Saccharomyces cerevisiae S288C: one gene and its partner. The protein of the gene in region 1 interacts with the protein of each later gene in a biochemical or structural test. Each region holds a gene or a part of one and is shown on either strand. Other genes may lie near its edges.

Evidence for each region. The genes of interacting proteins can lie anywhere in the genome.
Region 2: the proteins of SPT5 (region 1) and SPT4 form a complex in vitro, tested with the Saccharomyces cerevisiae proteins (4 studies listed by BioGRID, with this or other methods).

The regions. Positions count from the first base shown.
Region 1 is NC_001145.3:246,176-251,618, reverse strand, and holds SPT5 (transcription elongation factor SPT5), read right to left. Parts: upstream 3,943-5,443; coding exon 751-3,942; downstream 1-750. Other genes in the region: mitochondrial 54S ribosomal protein bL33m MRPL39, read left to right, coding at 103-315; RAD33 (Rad33p), read left to right, coding at 4,191-4,724; ERV25 (Erv25p), read right to left, coding at 4,868-5,443. UniProt on the Saccharomyces cerevisiae protein: The SPT4-SPT5 complex mediates both activation and inhibition of transcription elongation, and plays a role in pre-mRNA processing.
Region 2 is NC_001139.9:617,016-619,819, reverse strand, and holds SPT4 (transcription elongation factor SPT4), read left to right. Parts: upstream 1-1,995; coding exon 1,996-2,304; downstream 2,305-2,804. Other genes in the region: VHT1 (Vht1p), read left to right, coding at 1-1,743; membrane insertase COX18, read left to right, coding at 2,542-2,804.

The DNA.
Region 1 (5,443 bases):
AAAAAACTATAATTCACTGCATACAAACGTATTGACTGCTCCCCTACAGCGGAAGATAGTAAGAATACAACATCGTAACTGTTTCCATATTTATGTGCCGATATGGTAAAAGTGAAATCTAAGAATAGTGTTATAAAGCTATTGTCTACAGCGGCAAGTGGATACTCTCGTTACATCTCGATTAAGAAAGGTGCACCTTTGGTTACTCAGGTCAGATACGATCCTGTGGTGAAACGGCATGTGCTTTTCAAAGAAGCAAAGAAAAGGAAAGTGGCAGAAAGAAAGCCATTGGATTTCTTGCGTACAGCCAAGTGAAGAAATATGAATAAGCACGAGCCCCGGCATGTAAGCCCATCGAATACGCAGACGTTACGCATTTTTTTTCATTTATCCTGTAAATAAGTAATGGATACATACATTTTGTATACGATTCAAACGGAAAGAAATTCCGCTAACGAAAAAGAAGTTATATAAAATTACATTACAATAATCAACTCCCTCATAATAAAGTTGATATTTCATTTAGATATGCAAAAACACATATGCATACATACATACATACGTATATGTAAAAGTTAGAATCAAGGAAAACTCGTGACATACAAATGCAAGCATAAATGAAAAAAAAAGATCGAGATTCAGTATTTCATCGAAACATCGAAATCTTCATAACTATTCTTATTAACGTGGTAATATTAAAGTCTTTTTTATTGATTTCTTCTTGGGTGATATTGGTTCTCCTTTTGGTGATTAATGACCTCCCCATGTACTGTTACCACCATAGTTTGACTTATTTCCTTGGTTGTTCCAAGCAGACCTATTTCCATCGTCTTGGTTACCCCATGCAGAAGCTCCGCCATCTCTTGTACTTTTATTATTGTTATTTCCTCCCCAGGTGGAAGCCCCGCCGTAGGCTGACCTATCACCGGTACCACCCCAAGTAGACATGGCACCATTAGATTCACCACCCGACGCCCAAGTGGATGCACCGCCCCAACTTGATTTGTTACCCCAGGCTGAAGCACCACCCCAAGTAGAAGTAGCACCAGTACCTTGGCCGCCCCAAGCTGAGGCACCGCCGCCAGCACCGCCCCAAGCGGATGCACCTCCATTACCTTGGCCACCCCAAGTGGAAGCACCACCCCATGAGGAGACACCGCCACCACCTGAGCCTCCATGCGCATTTACAGCTGGTGTTTTGCCACCATCGAAGGAGCTCCATCCTGGTGTCATACCACCGCTAAGACCAGAAGAGGTAGCCGCAGCACCTGCTGCAATACCGCCAGTGGCCATGTTTCTTGGGGCACTGACGTAACTTGGGCCCATTCTGGCCTGTGGAACTCTACCACGTCTATTAACCAATTCATCATACGTGATACCTTCACCTCCCTCACGGTTGTAATATGTTAACTTATGCTTGTCAATTGTAATGTGTTTGTTCTTCGAGTGTAATTCGACAGTAGCTTTATCACCATTCACATCTTTCACAATACCTAATTGACCCTTGTAACCAGCAGAACGAATTCTTACTGTTTTGCCGAGTGCAACTTCACGACCTCCTCTGGACTGGATGGGTTGTTGGAATGTCTTAGATGATGGAGGTCCCATTTTAGAAATGATTTCTGGATTCATTTTACTTAGATCCATTTTGTTACTTAACATATTGTCCTTGGATGCCACGGCCTCAACGTTACTAGGGTTAACAACAAAAACCCCTGCATTTTCAACAATCTTCTTTGAAACAACAAAAATTTGTTGTGTTTGTATGTACAGGACCTGACCTTCTCTGCGTGAACCTACTTTCTCTACTATGGTATCACCAATTTTGATTTCATTACCATTTGCATCGACACTAGAAACGCGTGCACGAGCAGTATTTATTTTACTCAAGATAGACCCCTTCGTAATTGTCGACACTTTACCAGTTTCATCAATAACCTTGAAGATATCGTGGCCAGCTTGAATAATACAAGCAACATTTTTAGCACTCAATTCGACTATGTCATGTAGCGCATATTCACTTGATGTAGCTGTAGTGTCGATGGATTTGGACAGATTATTTGCTGTAATGGTAACTTCTCTGCTTGTTTGAGTTGACATAAATGTCACTTGACCTTGCTCTACCATAAGAACTAAACCAGCATCACCTTGATGTTCACCATTGATGACAGTAACGTGATCACCAGGTTCGAAAATTTTCCTCAGAGTAGAGATAGGAAATTCTAGAGGCGTTGTAAAGCCATTTAGTTTGATAGTAGCAATATCTTTCGTGGTTCTTGTTACAATACCCTTGGAACCACGTTGTTCACCATTTAGAACTTCGATACGATCACCTGGCTGGAAAGTGACCTTTGCAGCTTGAGCCTTCTTGATTGATTGTGAAACTGATGTTAGATCTACCGCGCCCTCTTTGGAACCGAATCTTGCCAATTCCTCCACAGTTGGCTGAATATTTTTGGTTTCCACATGTTGAATTCTGAAGGACTTATACAGATAACCATCGATATAATCTTCATTCTTATAAGTAAAGTGGCGATCATCCCTTTTGTACAGGTTAGCTTGGTCTAATCTTAGAGCCATTGTTGGATTAAATAATTGCGGTGGTGCTCTATGAGCAAAAGTTGGTCTTCTGGATTTACGTTGCTGTGTTGTTGGATCAATTTCGTCGAATTTACCATAATCCAGACGAGGAACAATTTTCAGCATAACTTCTAAATTATTCTCACTAATTTGGTCGACCATAGCTAAGTCACCCTTATAGATCCCTCTCTTAATACGAACGTAGCTACCTTCTTCCAAAGCAACATCATCAGATTTGTTTGGTTTTAGTAATAGAGGTAATTCTTGGACAGGAATTAGCAATTTTTGAGAAATATAAATATCTGGAACACCATTACAAAATTTTTCAATAACGGATTGCTTAGGGGCTTCGATATAGATTCTTCCTGTGTAATTATCCCTTTGGAAAATGGATAAAATTTTCAGTTTTTTCTTACCCATCGCCCTATCCAAATTGAATTTTTTTTTTAATAACTTACGAATCAATTCCTTTTCTTTACCTGGTCTGCAGCGCACACCCCAAATGGTAGCTGTATCAACACTTGGTAGGAGAAACCTCTGGGGCACGTAACCATCTTGAGCAGCAGCACGGTATTGCTTGGAGCTGCTTCTACCGTAACGCTCCCTTAATTCTTTCGCTAACCTTTGAGCGTCTTCTTCTGAAGTCTTGTTCAAATCTTGGTCCAGTTGTCTATGTAATCTATCGTCTCTTCTTGCGCCTGGAGCACTTGCTTCGTCATCTTCATCATCACCATGGGTAATGAAACCTTCACGAACCAACTCTGAATCCTCTTCATCTTCATCTTCATCTTCATCATCACTAACCTCAGCTTCAATATCCAAGAATCTGTTCCTCTCCTGACGACGCCTTTTAGTTGGGGCTTCATCGTCATCGTCCTCATCATCATCATCGTCATCGTCGTCTTCATCATCGTCTTCATCTTTGTTATCGCCCTCATCTTTGGTATCACCATCACTGTTTTTGGTGTCCTCTTCGCGAGGTCTCTTCCTTTCATCAGAGCCCTCTTCCTTCTTGACAATTTCATTTGCTTCGGATGAATCCGTATTCAAAGTTGCTTGGGCATCATCTGTAGCAGGCCCGTTACTAGATGAAACCTGCTCTGTGGCCGCCGTTTCTGCATTATCCTCAGGTTGCTGTGGCTCAGATTTTGCTTCTTTTTCTTCCCCATCTAAAGGGGGAATATTGCTTGTACTTTCTGCACGTTCTGTACTTTCCGTTGTGGTCACATTGCCACTATCAACAGTATCTTTGTCACTAGTATTTTCATCTTTAGTGTCAGTTGACTGCGGAACCACTACGGGATCAGCAAATTGTTGATCATGGTCCTGCATGCTCACGTTTGTGTCCGAGTTGTCACTCATAATTATCACAACACCCGTTCCTCTTTCCTTCTGCTGTTACCTACTTGTATGAATGGTTCTTGTCAATGCTACCAATCTTTGAACATGTTCATCCAAATTTTTTTCTATGTCGCATATCAGGCGGGTCACCTTTAGAAGGAACAAGTATGAAATATACTATCATATATATATATAATAACAATTACGCATGCAGGTGTCAGCATTAAGAAGCCGCAAGGTCACCTAAATACCTTCCGAGTTTTTTTTCAATGAGCAAATCCACTAACGTTAGTTATGAAAGAGTAGAGCTATTCGAGAACCCGAAAGTACCTATCGAAGTTGAAGATGAAATTCTGGAAAAATATGCGGAATCCAGTCTGGACCATGATATGACCGTTAATGAACTACCAAGGTTCTTCAAGGATTTGCAACTAGAGCCCACAATTTGGAAACTGGTGAGAAATGAAGACGTCATTATAGAAGGAACTGACGTAATAGATTTCACGAAACTGGTACGATGCACATGCCAGTTACTGATACTGATGAATAATTTAACAGTAATAGATGATTTATGGTCGATGCTTATTAGAAACTGTGGCAGAGACGTGGATTTCCCGCAAGTGGCCTTAAGAGATCATGTATTAAGCGTAAAAGACCTTCAAAAAATCTCCAATCTCATCGGGGCTGACCAAAGTTCTGGGACCATTGAAATGATTAGTTGTGCTACTGATGGCAAGAGGCTTTTCATGACATACTTGGACTTTGGTTGCGTATTGGGAAAACTAGGTTACTTAAAGATGTGAAGCGAACAAATCCATATTCAAATATTTTTTCTCCTTTATTCGGTTCTGGAATCTATTCATATATATGTAGAAAATAGTCGAGTACATATGCAATTATAGGGTAAGCTGATACACAAATGCATGGTGTGGTCCTCTTCCTTTGCTTAAATGATATGTTTCGTTTTGAAGTAGTTCTTCAAATAGTTGACTTGCCAAACACCCAGCGAGGACAAGACAATAATAACCAAAATTGAGAAATTTCTTACCCTTCTGTTGGTAGATTCATTGGTGTCTCTTAATCTCTCCTCTCTGTTTTTCAAGTAAGTCAATTCGTCGACAATTTCGTCGGTAATTTCCTCCACTCTACGCAACTCCACTTCTATAGGTTTCAATTTTTCGTTGGCACTGATCTTGTTCCAGTCACGAGCTTCAGCACCACTCTCAATGTCCAATTCAATGGCCCTGCTTAAAGAACGGCCACGATACTGAGCCTGATTTTCAAAACAAACGTCGAATGCCGTGGAGGATGGAGCAGTAAACGCAACACGAACGTCGCCTGCAAAGTCCCTCTTTCTACGATACTCGTTTCCAACTGAATCACGCACGAAGAGGTTTAGTTTCTGTCCATCACCAACAGAACCATCTGAGTGAATATCCGCGACAACCAATTGACCTTCAGTGACAAAATCACGAATACAAACCTGTTCTGGATCTGTAGATGCTGCAATGTCGAAATGTAA
Region 2 (2,804 bases), on another chromosome or scaffold:
CATTTGAGAAAACTACCCGAAGATGATCAGTACTTATACTCAGACGATACTAACTCCAGTATCATAGCTGAAGAGGAGCTACATCATAGCGTAGATAAGTCCTCGAAGACAGACGTTACGGCAGAAACTACAGCTGTAGAACCTCATCCTCACAATTTAAGGCATGACTTGCCATATGAAGTGAGAGATGAAGCTGGGCGTAAATGGTGGAAATATTTTGATGAATTCGAGTATCGTGTTAATAAGGAATACAAGAAATCACGTAAGTGGTACGAGTTTTTGTATCCTAATCATACTACTCAAACCAAGGCTGAAAGACGGCTTCTTTACAAGCTAGACATTATTATTGCTTTATACTTTTTTATGTTATGTTGGTCCAAGTCAGTGGATTTGAATAACTACACTAACGCATATGTTTCCAATATGAAGGAAGATTTAAACATGAAAGGTAATGATTACGTTTACACTTCTACTATTGCTAATGTTGGTGCCATTGTCTTCCAATTACCATTTATGTATTTGTTACCAAGATTTCCCTCTCATATTATTTTGCCTGTAATGGACTTGGGCTGGACTTGGTTCACATTTGCATGTTATAGGGCAAACTCACTAGCCGAACTAAGGGCTTACAGATTTATTTTAAGTGCCTTTGGCGCTGCTTACTACCCAGTGTCCCAATATATACTAGGTTGTTGGTATGCCCCAGATGAAATTAATTCAAGAGTCTGTTTATTCTTTTGTGGGCAACAATTGGGTTCCGTGACTTCAGGACTTCTGCAAAGTCGCATATTCAAAAGTTTGAACGGCGTCCATGGTCTAGCAGGCTGGAGATGGATGTTTCTGATCGATGCCATTGCAATTTCTCTTCCCACGGCTATTATTGGTTTTTTTGTTATTCCCGGTGTACCATCTAAGTGTTACTCTTTATTTCTGACTGACGAAGAAATACGAATTGCAAGGGCCAGAAATAAGAGGAACCAAATCAAAGATGGTGTTGATAAAAGTAAGCTAGCCCCATTATGGAGCAGAAAACTTTGGAAGAAAGTATTTTGTACTCCAGCATTCTGGGTACTTGTTGTTTTTGATACATGTTCGTGGAATAACATGACTGCGTATAGTGGTTCATATACTTTGTGGTTAAAGTCTAATACAAAGTACTCCATTGCCCAAGTGAACAACCTGAGTGTTATACCCGCATGTTTAGGATTTGCGTATGTGATTTTTTGTGCCTTTGGTGCCGATTTATTTAGATGTAAGTGGATATTCATGGTTTTTGCTGCTATAATGAATACCGTTTCTTGTGCCTTACTTATCAAGTGGGATATTCCTTCGAAAGCTAAATGGTACGCTTTCTTCACCACGTATTTCAGTGTGGCCGCATCGCCTTGTCTATGGTCGTTTATTAATGACTTCTTAAGGTTTGATCCTCAGGTGAAGGCTATTACATGGATCGCCATTTATTCCTTCTCTCAATCCACTTACGCCTGGATTCCTACCTTGGCGTGGCCTACCGTGGAGTCACCACGTTTTAAGACTGGTTACACCGTGAGCTTAATTTTTGGTGCTATTTACGGTTTATGGACGTTTGTTGTACTTTTTTTTTACAAGAGAAACGAAAAGAAACATGCTCTAGGTAATGGTATCATCTTGTATGATAGTAATAAGGGTGAAGAGCTTCCAGAATTTGTAAAGAAAAATATGGAGGAAAGAGATGGTTACTACTATTTAAAGCGGTCCTCGTAGTCCAATTTACGTGAAGTAGATAGGTATATTACGCTTTAGACACCATACCTCAAATAAATATATTCATGTATATAATTTAATCATCTTCTATCTATAATTAATCTCGATGTTGATAAAGGTCACCTTATACGTTCTATGAGTGAAATCGAGTGAAAAAGTGAAATTTAAGAAAGGGCTCGAAGGATGTACTGTGTAATAATTACACCTGGCCACATTCAGTTTGGCAAAAGCGAACGAGGTACAGTGTAAGAGATGTCTAGTGAAAGAGCCTGTATGCTGTGTGGCATAGTGCAGACCACAAATGAGTTTAATAGAGATGGTTGTCCCAACTGTCAGGGTATTTTTGAAGAGGCAGGTGTTTCTACAATGGAATGTACGTCGCCTTCTTTCGAGGGCCTCGTAGGAATGTGTAAGCCTACTAAGTCGTGGGTAGCAAAGTGGCTGAGCGTAGATCATAGTATAGCTGGTATGTACGCCATCAAGGTCGATGGTAGACTACCAGCTGAGGTTGTGGAGCTGTTGCCTCACTACAAACCGAGGGATGGCAGTCAAGTTGAGTAAAACCTTCCGTTCTGATATCACATGTATAATAGTAATGAATTTTTTTTACTTTTTTTTTTTTTTAGTAAATATTCTAGCATATGAGTTTATGCTTTCATTTATTTAACGTTCTGCACTTTTGTTTTTGCTGGCAAACCCAATTTTTCTACCGTCCAGTAATTCAACTAAGGCTAAAAAGACTTTCATTAGAAAAAAAAGGTCCAAGGATAGGAAAATTTCAAGATAAAGTATGGCATTATGTTAAAGAGGTTAGCCAATCGTCAAAATGGTTTTGCGTCATTCTCGTGCAGCTCAGTCGGTCTGCGATATGGTAGGACTAATCCAAGTACAAAGAGAAGCTTTTCACTTTTTCAAAGTGTAGCGGACACGTTTTTAACAGTGCATGAAGCCTCACATATACCATGGATAGTGCTTGTTCCTTTGACTACTATGACCCTTAGAACCCTCGTGACGCTGCCATTCAGTATATGGCAGCGGAGGAGAATTTTGAAACAACAAGA